2 linked regions of the Neodiprion lecontei genome follow. The protein of the gene in region 1 interacts with the protein of each later gene in a biochemical or structural test. Links are inferred from orthologs where the notes say so. Each region holds a gene or a part of one and is shown on either strand. Other genes may lie near its edges.

Evidence for each region. The genes of interacting proteins can lie anywhere in the genome.
Region 2: the proteins of peroxisomal biogenesis factor 19 (region 1) and ATP-binding cassette sub-family D member 3 form a complex in vitro, tested with the Homo sapiens proteins (4 studies listed by BioGRID and IntAct, with this or other methods). The link is inferred for Neodiprion lecontei from reciprocal best matches to the Homo sapiens genes PEX19 and ABCD3.

The regions. Positions count from the first base shown.
Region 1 is NC_060263.1:34,408,402-34,414,460, reverse strand, and holds peroxisomal biogenesis factor 19, read right to left. Parts: upstream 4,167-6,059; 5' UTR 3,955-4,166; coding exon 3,891-3,954; intron 3,375-3,890; coding exon 3,189-3,374; intron 3,136-3,188; coding exon 2,972-3,135; intron 2,815-2,971; coding exon 2,566-2,814; intron 2,453-2,565; coding exon 2,237-2,452; 3' UTR 759-2,236; downstream 1-758. Other genes in the region: phosphoglycerate kinase, read left to right, coding at 1-79, 176-395, 478-758; hsp70-binding protein 1, read right to left, coding at 4,689-4,899, 4,995-5,235, 5,468-5,870, 5,980-6,059. UniProt on the Homo sapiens protein: Necessary for early peroxisomal biogenesis. Acts both as a cytosolic chaperone and as an import receptor for peroxisomal membrane proteins (PMPs).
Region 2 is NC_060263.1:39,546,146-39,553,965, forward strand, and holds the start of ATP-binding cassette sub-family D member 3, read left to right. Parts: upstream 1-1,758; 5' UTR 1,759-2,124; coding exon 2,125-2,240; intron 2,241-2,360; coding exon 2,361-2,403; intron 2,404-2,468; coding exon 2,469-2,656; intron 2,657-2,766; coding exon 2,767-2,836; intron 2,837-3,125; coding exon 3,126-3,223; intron 3,224-3,413; coding exon 3,414-3,594; intron 3,595-3,765; coding exon 3,766-3,978; intron 3,979-4,067; coding exon 4,068-4,137; intron 4,138-4,242; coding exon 4,243-4,718; intron 4,719-4,804; coding exon 4,805-5,104; intron 5,105-5,202; coding exon 5,203-5,364; intron 5,365-5,452; coding exon 5,453-5,530; 3' UTR 5,531-5,560; exon of another isoform or gene 5,561-6,479; 3' UTR 6,480-7,820. Other genes in the region: GPI mannosyltransferase 3, read left to right, coding at 1-562. UniProt on the Homo sapiens protein: Broad substrate specificity ATP-dependent transporter of the ATP-binding cassette (ABC) family that catalyzes the transport of long-chain fatty acids (LCFA)-CoA, dicarboxylic acids-CoA, long-branched-chain fatty acids-CoA and bile acids from the cytosol to the peroxisome lumen for beta-oxydation.

The DNA.
Region 1 (6,059 bases):
CCTGCTGGACAAGGTTGACGAAATGATCATCGGTGGTGGAATGGCATTCACATTTCTGAAAGTCACGAAAAACATGAAGGTACGGTGATCAGAAAGCAGTAGATTTTTATCACATTGAAGTGCGACTCAGATGATAATAATAATAACAATTGTATTCATTGGTCTGATTTTACAGATTGGTGCTTCTCTCTTTGACGAAGAAGGTGCAAAAATCGTTAATGACCTTCTGGAAAAAGCAAAAAAGAATAACGTACAAGTACATTTACCTGTGGATTTCCTGACGGGTGATAAATTTGCTGAAAACGCAACTGTTGGAACTGCTGATGTTGAAACAGGCATTGCTGACGGCCTTTTGGGTCTCGACATTGGTCCTAAATCACAGGCTATATTTGCTGGTAAATAATAATAGCAAACAACAAGGGATTGACACTCTCGCTATGGGATGAATCCGAAATTGATACGGCTTTCAAATTACAGAACCTCTGAAGCGAGCAAAGGTAATCGTGTGGAACGGTCCGGCAGGAGTTTTTGAGTTTGAAAACTTCAGCAAAGGTACAAAGAGTCTGATGGATGGTGTTGTTGCTGCCACACAGCGTGGTGCAATCACGATAATCGGCGGTGGTGATACAGCTACTTGCGCAGTAAAATGGCAAACAGAAGACAAAGTTAGCCATGTCAGTACTGGCGGTGGTGCCAGCTTGGAGCTTCTAGAAGGCAAAGTTTTACCAGGAGTTGCGGCTCTTTCCGATGCCCCATAAATGGGGCAAAAGGTTCCTGTACAATTCACAAACTCTTGACTTTTCAGAGCAGATTAGCACTGTTTGAACCACTATGTGTATATAGAATATCGATTCCTGAAACGTGATATAAAGATTTAGTTCTATGTAATCTCTTTAGATGTCACGTTTTATCTCTATAAGAATATTGTACCAAAATGTATCATGTTGCTATTTAATAAAAGTTAACGATTCTAATTCTAAATTCATGTGAATTATGCTGGCATATTGTATGCGATCACCTAGCTTTACATTGACCTGGAAGCTCCAGTCGTCTAAGAATGTCAATCAATAGGACAACCGCGTGTAACAGTGAAAATGTGCCATACCTCAGAAGTAGTCCTAAGGGTTCTGGCTGTCCACCTCTGTTCACTGCGATCAATTAGACAATTTAAGACTTCTCACTTATCTCGAGGACATGTTAAATATAACAACATTGTAACGATGAATAAATAACAATTTATGTGTATAAACATCTAACTCATGGCACTTACAAAAATGTTGAAACCCGTCCCATGAACAGACTAACAAACATAGCCATGTCTCATGTGGCGCAAGGGTATAATAAATATTAACACGTACCTAGATGAAATAAATCTGCTGAACCGAGTATAACAGAATAAAAATTTACTATCTGTAAAAAAAAGTAGTAACGCGTATAAGGACATATTTATTATTACCTTATAATTACCATTTTCCCGTAGGTGGCTAGTGAAGATCACAGATCGTGTTTAGGTTTTATTTTTAAATTATAATATGGTGACCTATTCCTTATATATTACATCTATATGCATAATGCATGTATTGTCAGTAGGGATGTGACTGGACCAGAAGTGTTAAATCTTGTCAAAGTCGAATTTTCGCATCCCTAACGTTATGTTTGTAATTCGTACATAACATTGCGAAGTATATACATGTATACACGTACCTACACCGCATTTTAGGTAAGATACACGTAAAATAAGAAAACAAACCCTATGCACGGCGCATAGAAAATTGTGCGAGGCAGTTGCTACATGAAAAACGATCACGTACTCCATACTCAAACCGATGTGCACACAAATGAAATAAAGTCATGAAATTAACCGAACAACTACCCCACATCATATTAATTTCAATGATGAAAAGAGAATTTTATGTAATCTATCATTGAAAATGCAAATGACTGTAGATATGCTATAGATATCTGTCGGCACTAGTGTTGCGAAATAAACATGGAAGCTCAGCAAATCAAAAAATATGGTAAAGGCAACTACTGAAGTGAAATATTTTTGTCATTTCAATCTAGGTCTTTGTTTATAAAAAACAAATAAATCTTACTATTGGAGAATAAAAGTTTTTAAAATGGCCATTTCATTAAAACAATGTTATGAAAATCGATACTGACGAAGTTTGACAATCTTTTTTTCTTTGTCAAACATATTGCGACATTTCTAAGGCTACGTAACAATTTTATACTTTTACATGACGCAGCAGTTTTCAGGTGGGTCAACTCCAGGTGGAAAAACTGGATTTCCTTCAGCATCGCACTTGAAAAGTGCAGGAGCACCGACCAACTCTTCTGGTGGTTGCCCGCAGTTCTGCATTTGGTTCATCAATGCCAATGTCTTTTCAAAGCGAGCCTTTTTCACTTCATCAGAGTCGTCTTCTTTCTCATTTTCCAGCTCTGCACATACCTACGGAAGCGAACCACATAAATGAATCTCGCATCAGTTTCTGATATTATCTCTCATTATAATTTCAGTTAAAATGTTTGCCTGCCTATGGTGACAATTATTAAATTGCACACCTTTTGCATGAGATTTAATTGTTCCGTGTATCTTTCAAAATCAGCTGCTGGTAGGGTGGGTTTTTTTTCTTCAAGCCACACTGGATATTTATCAACTAACTCTTTCATTGTGGGATATAAAACCTCCTTGGACAATAAAGACTGCATCATCCCTTGCATGAAAGATGGGAATTCGCCAGACTCTTCCTCCAGAGATGTTCTCCCGAACATAGCAGCCAGATCTGCTTCTCCCAATCCTGGCACCGGGTTCTATTACAAAAAGTGTACATCAAAAATCAAAATTTGTGGCAAAATATTCTGAAAATAAAATACTACACATGTAACCTAGTGTTCTATCAATATGATTTAGTTGAATATATAAAAAAGTGCTCAAAAATCAAGGGTTATCTTCAGTGTTGAACATCACCTGCAGATCCTGACTCGTACTGGACAAATCTTTAAGCGCTTGTGAAATGGCTGACTGAAAGTCACTGCGAGAACTTTCGCTCCCAAGATCGCCTTCCCCTGTGATAGCACTGGCTACAGTTTGTGCCATTTTTTGGAAAGAGGCTCCCAGATCGTTATCATCACCTATGCAATAAATTGTGTTATAACAACTCGACAATTATTTCTTCAGTTATCACCATTTTGTATCAGGTTCTGTAGGTTTTTTTCGAACTGGTCTGCAGCTTGTTTGATAAAATCTTGCGTCCACTGATCTTCAGCGCCAGCTGCGGCATCCGGCTGCTCCAATTGTGCCGACGATGCAACTGCCGTTGCATCGGTTTTTGGTTTTTCGCTTTGAACCTGATTGAAATCCTCGAGAGCGCCTGGAAAAATTTAAAAGTTTGCTATTACATTGATTTCAAATTCAAAATTCACATCTGATGAAACCTGCGTACTAAAATTGCAAAAACTAAGGTTAAACCGAATTAAATTGATAAGATGACCTACATATATCGAATTCCTAATAATAAACGGATAAAGCATGCATTTTATTTTTTGTACCAAGACAACAATTGACTAAGCAGGTGTTATGGAACAATTGACAAAAATTCTAGGTCAATTTCTAACATTACATAACAGTAAAATTATTGAAAAAGGAAGACTGTATAAAATAAAATTTTGATCTATTATCTGGTGGCCAGAAATTTCATTGGAAGGTTATAAATAATCTTGACTTCATAATTATCGCTAAATAATGAAAATAACAGCTATAGACGCTGTTCGTTTCAGTGGTTATAGGTTATGTTTGTGCATAATAATTTTTCATCACCAAGTCGTTGCTGATTTTTGCAAACGGAGATTACGCCGTAAATGAAAATGTAATTTGCGTCAGTACTCACTATCCAATAAGTCGTTTAATTCCGCATCTGCAGGTTCTCCAGATTTTTTCTTATCCTCAGACATTGTCGAGTTGCTTCCCGCTACGTCACGCGCGAACAATTAAATAAATCCCAAGCCTAAAGACCTCGCGCGCTTCTGCTTAGTGTATTACAAAAATTAAATTCCAGCGGCCGAATCACAACTTTCTTTGCGACGCGTGGCGTACCAATGCCGCGTATCAGCACAAAGTTCAACCCATATAACCAGATGAAAAATTTTTTCGCAACTTAATTAACTTATTTTCCTTGCCTTCCTTATTTTTTATACAGATTCGAGTAAGATTTAATGAAACTTTTAATGATCGCTTTGGTCACGTATACCTACGTAGTTTTACTTGAATTGCATTATTCGGATCACGAATAACGGAATATTCGATAGGTATCGTCGTTCACAAAAAATTATCAACCTATCGCATAACGGATACATTCATTAGTCACTAATTGCCTCCAGACGCGAATGTGCACGTGCAACGGTGTATTAAGGGCAGACGGACTTATCGATTGAATGATTGATTGCAACAACGCTCTGTTGGCAATATCAGGATTTTATCTGTATAAAGTACTTGCACATATTCAACAAATTATTTGTTCATATACATAGTGGTAATCTGTATTAGCGTACAGTTATAAACGTCAAGTTACTCGAATAAGGGAAAAAAATAAATATTTATGTTTATTGTACATATTTTGTGTTACAATTGAACAAGAATTACAACTCTGTTAGGCAGATCATCGATCTGGCTGCACGCAAGAGATCGGCTATCTCTCCTGATTTGTCTCATGATCTGAAAATATTTGATCTAAAAGCTGAGCACACATGTCAGCTTCGTCGAAACTTTCTTCTGCCCTTAGTTCACGTTGATGACGTTCTAGAGTCTGCCTCAGGCAAAGTTGCGGCCTTCTGCATTCCTTCAATGCTGGCAAGTAGTTATTTTTGGCCAATCCAGCTAGTACCCTCAATAGCTGGTCCCTTGAGTTATTTACAAAAAGAAGAATCCATATATATTAATTCCGTTAGCAGTTCGGACAGAAATATTTTGTAAGTGAAGTAACGGAATTTAGTACCTTGTATCTGGATGAAGACCTTGCATTGCCAGCAAACCAGCCGCTTGTTCGATCAAACCCATATTAACAAGAGTTGTCTTTAAATTATGGGGATTGCCATCTTTGCTACATAAAGATGATAACAGGAAGGCAGATTTTATCTGCAGTTTTTCTATTGGACTTTGCAATGCCCTTAGCAGAACTGAATAGCCATCATTGACATTCAGGTGAGTCAATGATACTGGGTTCTCCCTCACCAGACCTAAATGATGAAACATCGTGATAGCAACATAAACTCAGTTAATTGATTACATACTCTGAACTTATTCTTCCAATTTATTCTTCAGCAAGAATGAGGCAGGGCAACTTTTAAAATCAAATATTAGTAAATCTGTCTGTATCGGTGATCATGGTAGATATAAATTCTCTCGAATCGTTTCTGATTAGTTTATGAATACAGAATGATGACATATTATGTAAAAATGTGGACTTACAAGAAACTGCATATAAGGCCTTAATTCTGGTCTGTTCTGAGGGGTCTGTGTCTACCATATGCAGTAATGTCGGCATCAAACCAAACTCCAAGACCTTTTCTTGACAGTATGGATTATTTTGCGTCAACTCAGCGATAATGTCAGCTGCCCTCCATCTGTGACTGCTGTACTTAGAATTAAGGCAGGGTTCGAATATCGCGAAGCCTCCAATTTTGTAAAAGTCATTTGCAGTGTCCATGTTGTCGACATAATTTGCGATCACATCCAGTGCATTATCGTATTGGGAAGGTTCATTCTCAAGCTGGAGTTCGCTTGCACTGGACAACACTTTTATCGACTTTTGAAGTTCCTCTATCACATTTACAGTCATAGAAGACAACGCTTGATTCAAGAACGCTTGTCGCTATACAGAGAAAAGAAAATATAAGCTTATTTTCCTTAATTGATGAAAAAATAGAATTAATTTCAAAACAAGCCGGACTTCATTTGCCACTGAATAGTTTTTTCCATACCTCCTGATCCAGCGGTTGGAACTGCGAAGACTGTGAAGCATTCTCCTCTTGCCTAGCTTCCATGGCAAATCGAAGCAGCC
Region 2 (7,820 bases), about 5.1 Mb from region 1:
GTTTATTCTTCCGTTACTCCCATTCTTCGTCTGCCTTGGTACTAGTGGCATTTTGTGCATAAAAAATTCTGTGGCACCCTTTACGCGAAAAGTTCTCATGAACGTTTTGGTGCTCACTAATTTATTGCCAGGACTTTACTTCTCTCTGATTCATTTGCGAGGTTCGTTAGATGCCATGAAAATATTACGTCAGGAAATTGCAAGTGTACCAAATGATGACGTCAATATCTTATTCCTCACTCCCTGCCATGCAACTCCCTTTTATAGTCACTTGCATGCTAATGTAACAGCCAGGTTTCTGACTTGCGAACCAAGCTTAAGCAACCGAGATGACTACATTGATGAGGCATCAGAGTTCTTTGCAAATCCAAACCTCTGGTTAAGACAAACTTACAGTAACACTAAAGATACGGAGATGCCCACACATCTTGTATTATTTCATGAGCTTGCTCCAAGTATTCATCAATTTCTTGATAAATACAGACTAATCGCTGATTTATTTTATGCTCATATCACACCAACTAATTACAGTCAATACCTACTGATTTACAAAAGGAAGTGACTATCCTTGATTCAATTGCATCGATTGCTTCATTTTAAGTATCTCCATTGTCGACTGATAACTTCGTATCTAGTCTAAGTGATTAACAATTCCTAAACTGCCGATATACTAAGACTACTTAGTCATCATTATGCATTTTGTTTACATGTAAAATTCGCATAAGATTTTCATTAGCCTATAACTTGTTACATTAGGATTCCGCTTTGGGTTTGGTGACTCAAATGGCTCGGGAATAATTGTTATTACTGCGAAACTTCGAGAGTCATGCAAATTGTTATATGACTTAACATTAAGTTTTTTGTGTGTTACAGGTTTGTAAATATTATGAAACTGACATGTTATGACGTAAAATTATCTGTGCCTGCTCATTGGACTTAAAATGTTAGTAGGGCGTGATATGAATGCTATTACAAAAGTAGCAATCGTAATAAACCAGTGTTTAAAATGTCACCGTTTTTTATTCCTATTTGATATCCAAGTATCCAATCTTACAATCAGGTGGACAGTGAAAATGCTGTTAGCTATGCTCAATTAAAATTCGATGTCACTTGGGCCTGCCAGAATATTAGAAAGTTTCCAGTGACGGTTTTCCTATAAATGTCAATCAACCATTCAACATCCTATTTCTCTAAAGTATTTTTCAATTAATCACTAGTATACTCATTGCTTTCCCACTTCTTGATGTGTTATATTTCTTTTTTCGTAATTGACCGTTATACAAGCTACCATAGATATAACAGACTTTTCAATTACTCTGAGGCATTATAGTCATTCAAACTTGTGGCTTTTGATAAGCAATCGTGGTTATAACTGTATTATATTGCGAGTAGAATTCAAGGTCGTGGATTATTTCCTCCTATCAACAAAGTATTTAAATATAATTTGATATTTGAGCCCTAGTGATGAGTGGGAAGTTCGAACGGCGGGGAGGAACACACACAATTGACCATGAATGATAAGTTCGAACGAGTTTTTTTTTACTATCTTCTACAAAGTTGAAAAATATTTTTCTTTCAAAAACGTACCGTGATAGCTGTAATGACATAGTAATGACGTAACCAAGGTCCGAGTTTGTGGCTAACCTAGCCTATCGAGTTCAGTTTTATCCTTGTCTTATATGGGAGCTTGCGCAAGTGTGCGAGACACGTGTCTAATTTTTCCCTTGTAGTTATCTCGCTACACTCGGATGCGCCCGAACGTAGCCTTTGGTTGCATCTTTTTCGACAGTTAAATTATGTGCATGCATACATACGTAAAATCGAAGGTTCGCACCGTCATTCCATGAAGGCGGTGATCATTGAAAATTTACTTAATATTTATTTTGACGGTTAGGACATAGGTGGTCGCGCGGTTAGGTTGGCATACGTTGCGTCACTGGCGTAGTGACTTGCGTTGATGTAAATTGGAGGTAACGAACGAAGTAGAATTGTAAGAAAACAAAAACGAGTGATAAACACCGGGTAATGTATTCAAGAATTCAAATGCATTCCATCGAAAGCGAATGAAAACCAGATACCAATTAAAGTCCATAGTGAGGGAACCGAAAGGGAGTTAAGGCAAAAATGGCACCTGCACTTAGTAAATTTGTAACAAAAAGGTCAATCGCAGGAGCGATAAGTGTCAGCGCAATAATTTGGCTGCTGAACAAAAAAACGAAAAAACGGACATCGAAACTTAGGTAACTAATTAAAATTACTAGTCGAAACCGTCGACGTTGTCTCATTCATTTGTCTACATTCTGCAATGTCACTAACTTTCTTCTCCTAAATAATGCAATGTAATAATTTTCCTTTCACAGACATCAACAGACAAACAACGACATTCAGTATGTCATTAAAGAGGTAAGGATGACAAATTTCATCATAGTTACTCAGATAATCATTAAACGATAATTCAATTTCTGCAGGACAAACCCAAATCGCCCAAAGCTCACGTTAACGCAGAATTCTTCAGGCAGCTACGCCAGCTTATTGCTATTGGCGTTCCAGGAGTTTTTTCCACAGAATCGGGATACTTACTCCTGATAGCTGTGGCTCTCGTTGTCAGATCGTTTTGTGATTTATGGATGATTAATGCAGGGACGCTTATCGAATCGTATGTAAACTTTGGTTATCTAAAATTATACAATTTGTAGATATTGTATTATTCTATCTAGTATTTACTGCGTCCATGCTTTTTGTCCTTAAGCAAAAAATCATTTTCAGGTCTATAGTTAGTATGAATGGACCTCTATTTAGAAAACGACTTTTCTGGTTCTTCTCCGCATTGCCATTGGTAAGCGAGTGTATTTGTTCAATTGATTTCATTTAATGTTAAATTTAAAAAATATGCCATTATTGTCAAATGAGTTGTTGATGATGAGTCTAAAATTGGTGTTACAATAATACGCACTTGAAATATCGGGATCTATCAAATATAGTGAAAATAGAAACACTGCAATTTTATGCTCATTCGCATCGGATAATAAATATCAGCTCTCTGGAATGTTAATATTGTTTTTCACCTATAAAATTATAATTTCCTAAAATTTGATAAAATTTTCACCACACATTTATTGATTTAGGTTTCAATAGTGAACAATATACTGAAGTATGGTATTGGCGAAGTGAAACTTAGGTTACGCACTAACATTACACACCACCTTATGGATAAATACCTCAAGTAAGTATTAAGTGCTGGTTGCAATCAGAAAAGAAGTCATTTCGAAGATAACGATATGATGTATTAGGGTGGAAACAATTTATGTACAGATTTTTTCAGGCTTTAAATTGGCATATTATGTCTGTGGTATTAATATTTGTTTATGCAATTACAATCTAATTCATCTAATCATTTATTCATTAATTCACAGGGGTTTCACATACTATAAAATGTGCAACTTGGATAACCGCATTGCAAATCCAGACCAATTGCTCACAACAGATGTTGATAAATTCTGCGAAAGTTGCACAGATTTGTACAGTAATATTGCTAAACCTCTACTGGATATATCTATTTACGTATACAGACTCACGTCCACTCTCGGAGGACAGGTAAAGACAATATTTAAAATGAAATTTTATACTTTGATACATGAATAAAGTAGCTGCTCAAAAACTTTTTGCTGCAAATCCGTAAAGACCAGTCATCGCTCATATAACGTTCTAATTTTGCACATCACGCAAAATCATGATTGTTTGTTTCATTTTTTTTTCCCCCAACAGACACCCCTGCTTATGCTGGGTTACTTGTTGGGAGCAGGAACGTTTTTAACGCATCTTCGTAGACCAATCGGGTCATTGACTGTGACGGAACAGCGACTTGAAGGGGAATATCGTCACATTAACTCACGCCTGATAGTCAATTCAGAAGAGATTGCTTTTTATCAGGGAAATAATCGTGAGAAGCTAACCCTCCTCACCAGCTTCCAAAAATTGGTAAAACATTTTTTTGTATACCATGAATATGTTGCGAGATAACACAGAAATTAGACACGGTAACTAATAACTTTTAATGGACTCTTTAGATCACACATCTACGAAGATTCCTTGAGTTTAAAGTAACTTTGGGAGTAGTGGATAATTTTGTTGGGAAGTGTAAGTAAAATAGTAAACAAAATATCTATAATTGACCACAGCAAGATTTTGGGGAGAGATCAAGAACAAAGACCGCAACTGGGATAATTTAATTCTTATTTCCAGATGCGGCAACGATTGTCGGTTTCTATGCAGTCAGCATTCCCTTCCTCCAAAAAAATCATCCGATACTGAGTGGAACCCCTGATCATCGTTACAAAAGTTACTACACATATGGCCGAATGTTGATAAAGTTGGCGGAAGCTATCGGCAGGCTGGTACTTGCAGGAAGAGAGTTGACACGACTGGCCGGTTTCACAGCCAGAGTTACAGAAATAAGAACAGTCTTGAACGACCTGAACTCAGGGAAATATCAGCGAACTATGGTGGCAGACAATAAGTCCGAACCGGTTGGCGCACCAGGAGCAGGAAAAATAGTTGCTAAGGACAACATAATAAAATTCGAGCATGTGCCTTTAGTTACACCAAACGGTGATGTACTTGTAAAAGATTTATGTTTTGAGGTGAAATCTGGCATGAACGTTTTGGTCTGCGGTCCAAATGGTTGTGGAAAGAGTTCCCTATTCCGAATTCTCGGCGAGGTAAGTAATCGGCACCAATTCAATTTTCTGTTCATTGCCTGAGCAATAGCTGTATCATAATAATCAATAACTTAATCAACAATTAGCTTTGGCCAGTCTGGGGAGGAATTGTAACTAAGCCACCAAAGGGGAAATTGTTTTACATCCCGCAAAGACCGTACATGACGTTGGGTACTCTCAGAGACCAAGTAATTTACCCTCATACAAGAGCTGAAATGCTGCGACGAGGTAATTGTAATGACGCCGATCTGGAGGAGTTCTTAAATGTGGTGCAACTTGGTCATCTGCTGGAAAGAGACGGTCAAGGAAAGGGGAAAGGACAGGGTTGGGACACCGTTGCCGACTGGATTGACGTTTTGTCAGGCGGAGAAAAGCAGCGCATTGCGGTAAATTGTTTCCCCTTGTATACGGGCGCGTATACCAGTGAACTAAAACTTTTTGTTATTCGTGTAAATTGACGCGGAACCGATTTTTTTATGTTCAGATGGCAAGGTTGTTTTATCATGCACCACAGTTCGCCATTCTCGACGAATGTACGAGTGCAGTTAGCGTGGATGTCGAGGATTCCATGTATTCTTACTGCAGACGAGCTGGTATTACTTTATTCACCGTTTCTCACCGAAAGTCCCTTTGGAAACACCACGAGGTAGGACTCAAAATCTGGCTTGTTACTTTCGCAAACCTGATGTATAAATGTGGATAATAATGTCGTTTCTGTTTCTTTTTTTGTTCAGTATTACCTTCAAATGGATGGTAGAGGCTCGTTTGAGTTTAAACAAATTGAGCAAGATACAGAAGAATTTGGATCATGAATTTTATTGTGAATCGTAATTCTCTATAAGGTGGTATGCATTAAATATACATATAGATACAATTACAAGAATTATAGAACAAATATGATAAATTATCAAATCAAGCATCTAACGAATGATCCCAGAAATTAAAATTCGAACGTAATCGATTTTAGAGAGTAGGATTTGAGCTCATATTATACGCACACATCTCTGTAGGCATAGAAGATATTTTTACACAGGTCAACTATAAATACGTCGTCAATACTTGAAAACCGGGTTGTAAAAATATACGTACAATGATTTTTTAATAATTTCACTATGGGGAAATTTCGAAAATCTAAATCAAGTTTTACAGAAATATAATGGTTATCATTATTTAGAACATTTAGGAATATTATCGCAACTATTGTATTATCGGATAGTTTCATGATAATGTTTAGCAAACAAATTGTCTCACAATCAACAGTTCACAGGCTATGGGATTTTTGAATTAAGTTGATGCAAGTCAAAATTTTCACCACTCTATCTCCTCTTACAAATATACAGGGGATTTCTGATGAAAGGGTAACCTCTGAGCTCACACCGCTAGCGCTAACCACATGTACAAGTTTTTGTTCACAGCATTTATCTGCTATGCTCGGGTCACGTAAAAGTTGCTACTCGCGTGGCTTGGAGATTGCCTTTTGACCAGACATTCCCTGTATATGAAGAATAGAAATGGACGGGAACAATATTCTGAATGGGTATAGGAGAGAGTTTGGTAACATCGGGAATCTATAAATTATTGGGAATGAGTACATAGAGAACAAGGGGTGTATATCAGTTTAATACTGTGTGTGTCCTGTTAAATTACGTGAACAATACTTAAAGTAATCGAATTTGTGCCGAGATAAAGTAAAAAACAAATTTACGTTAGGATCAAATAAATGGTAAATATAACTGTATATATTATACTATATTCATACAGGTGAATCATGGATAGTTTAGGCTACCACGATGCTCAGCCACGGCTTGATTCCAAAACTAATGTGTTCAAGAAGGGATCGTTAGGCTACGTTTTATAGATAATAATTACTAGCGTATAACATCACAAGCATTTGAACTCTTTTAAAAAAATTTAACGCCATTTAATGGCGTTAGGGTAAGAACAAGAATTTGTCACTTGTGAATTTTTAAGCTTTAGACCCTTAAATCTAAGATTAGGAGGGGATGTAATAAATTGTACTATAGATAATTAGACCAAACGTTTTGACCGAGTGACAATGAAAATTAAATGAAACGCGTTGCATTATCGTTGAACGTAAATATTTTGTTCAATGAACATCTTCTGGAATAAGATGTAAGATTGTTGATAGAAATGAAAATTTTGCGTCTCAGCAATTAGTAATTAATTTGAACAATTCGAAACAAAAGTTTTTTTACTGCTTGTTTATTTGATCTCTCATTATTAAATACAATTCAAATATTAATATATTCGACATAGTGCAATTTTTAAGTAAAAAATCAGTTGCGAAATATCGTATTCGAAAAAATTACTACCGCCTCTAGAGACTGTACTTTACAATGCCATAGTTATTTTATATCCAGCTTAAATGCGAAAAGACCTCTACTCGTGGAAATAATAATTACACATTTATATTCTTCTTCCGAAAATTACCTCCTATTTTACTCTCGGTAGTAAAATCACAGAGAAGTCTAACGAAAATTATAAGGTTTCAGTTAACACTGAGTACGGTTGTATATTATGTATACATATTTACGACGGAGACGATTAATTACAATTATTGTTATATTGTTAATTGTTATGTGCAGAGCACATTGTATATTTATATAACGTAATAATTTTAACAAAAATGTCATCACAATAACCATAGTCTTAACGATTTTATTATTAGTATACATGTATATGGAATTGCTGGCCAACGGGTAAAAATATTGAAACAATTTTTTTATATTGAAATAAAGATCACTTTCCGAAGAAAGCATTGTACAGAAAAATGATTAAAAAATAACCGCAATTTTCAGTCAGTGAAAAGGTTTTTGTGAGGGATAAGTAAGATATTTGTGGCGCCCATTTTTGACCATTGATTCTTGGTGTTTTTACCAAATCAAGGAGAATTTCAAGAATAAAAAATTCGCCATTTTGGCCTCCCTAAGGAGATGTAAGCATTTTTAACGGTCATTGGAAACACATCAAAATTCAACGATTTTTTTTTACTCATGAGTTTGGCATCCGTACGAAAGGGGCACAGTCGAAACCACAGTCACATCAACACGTAATAAAATCGCAGAAGGTGACTGTCGCAGC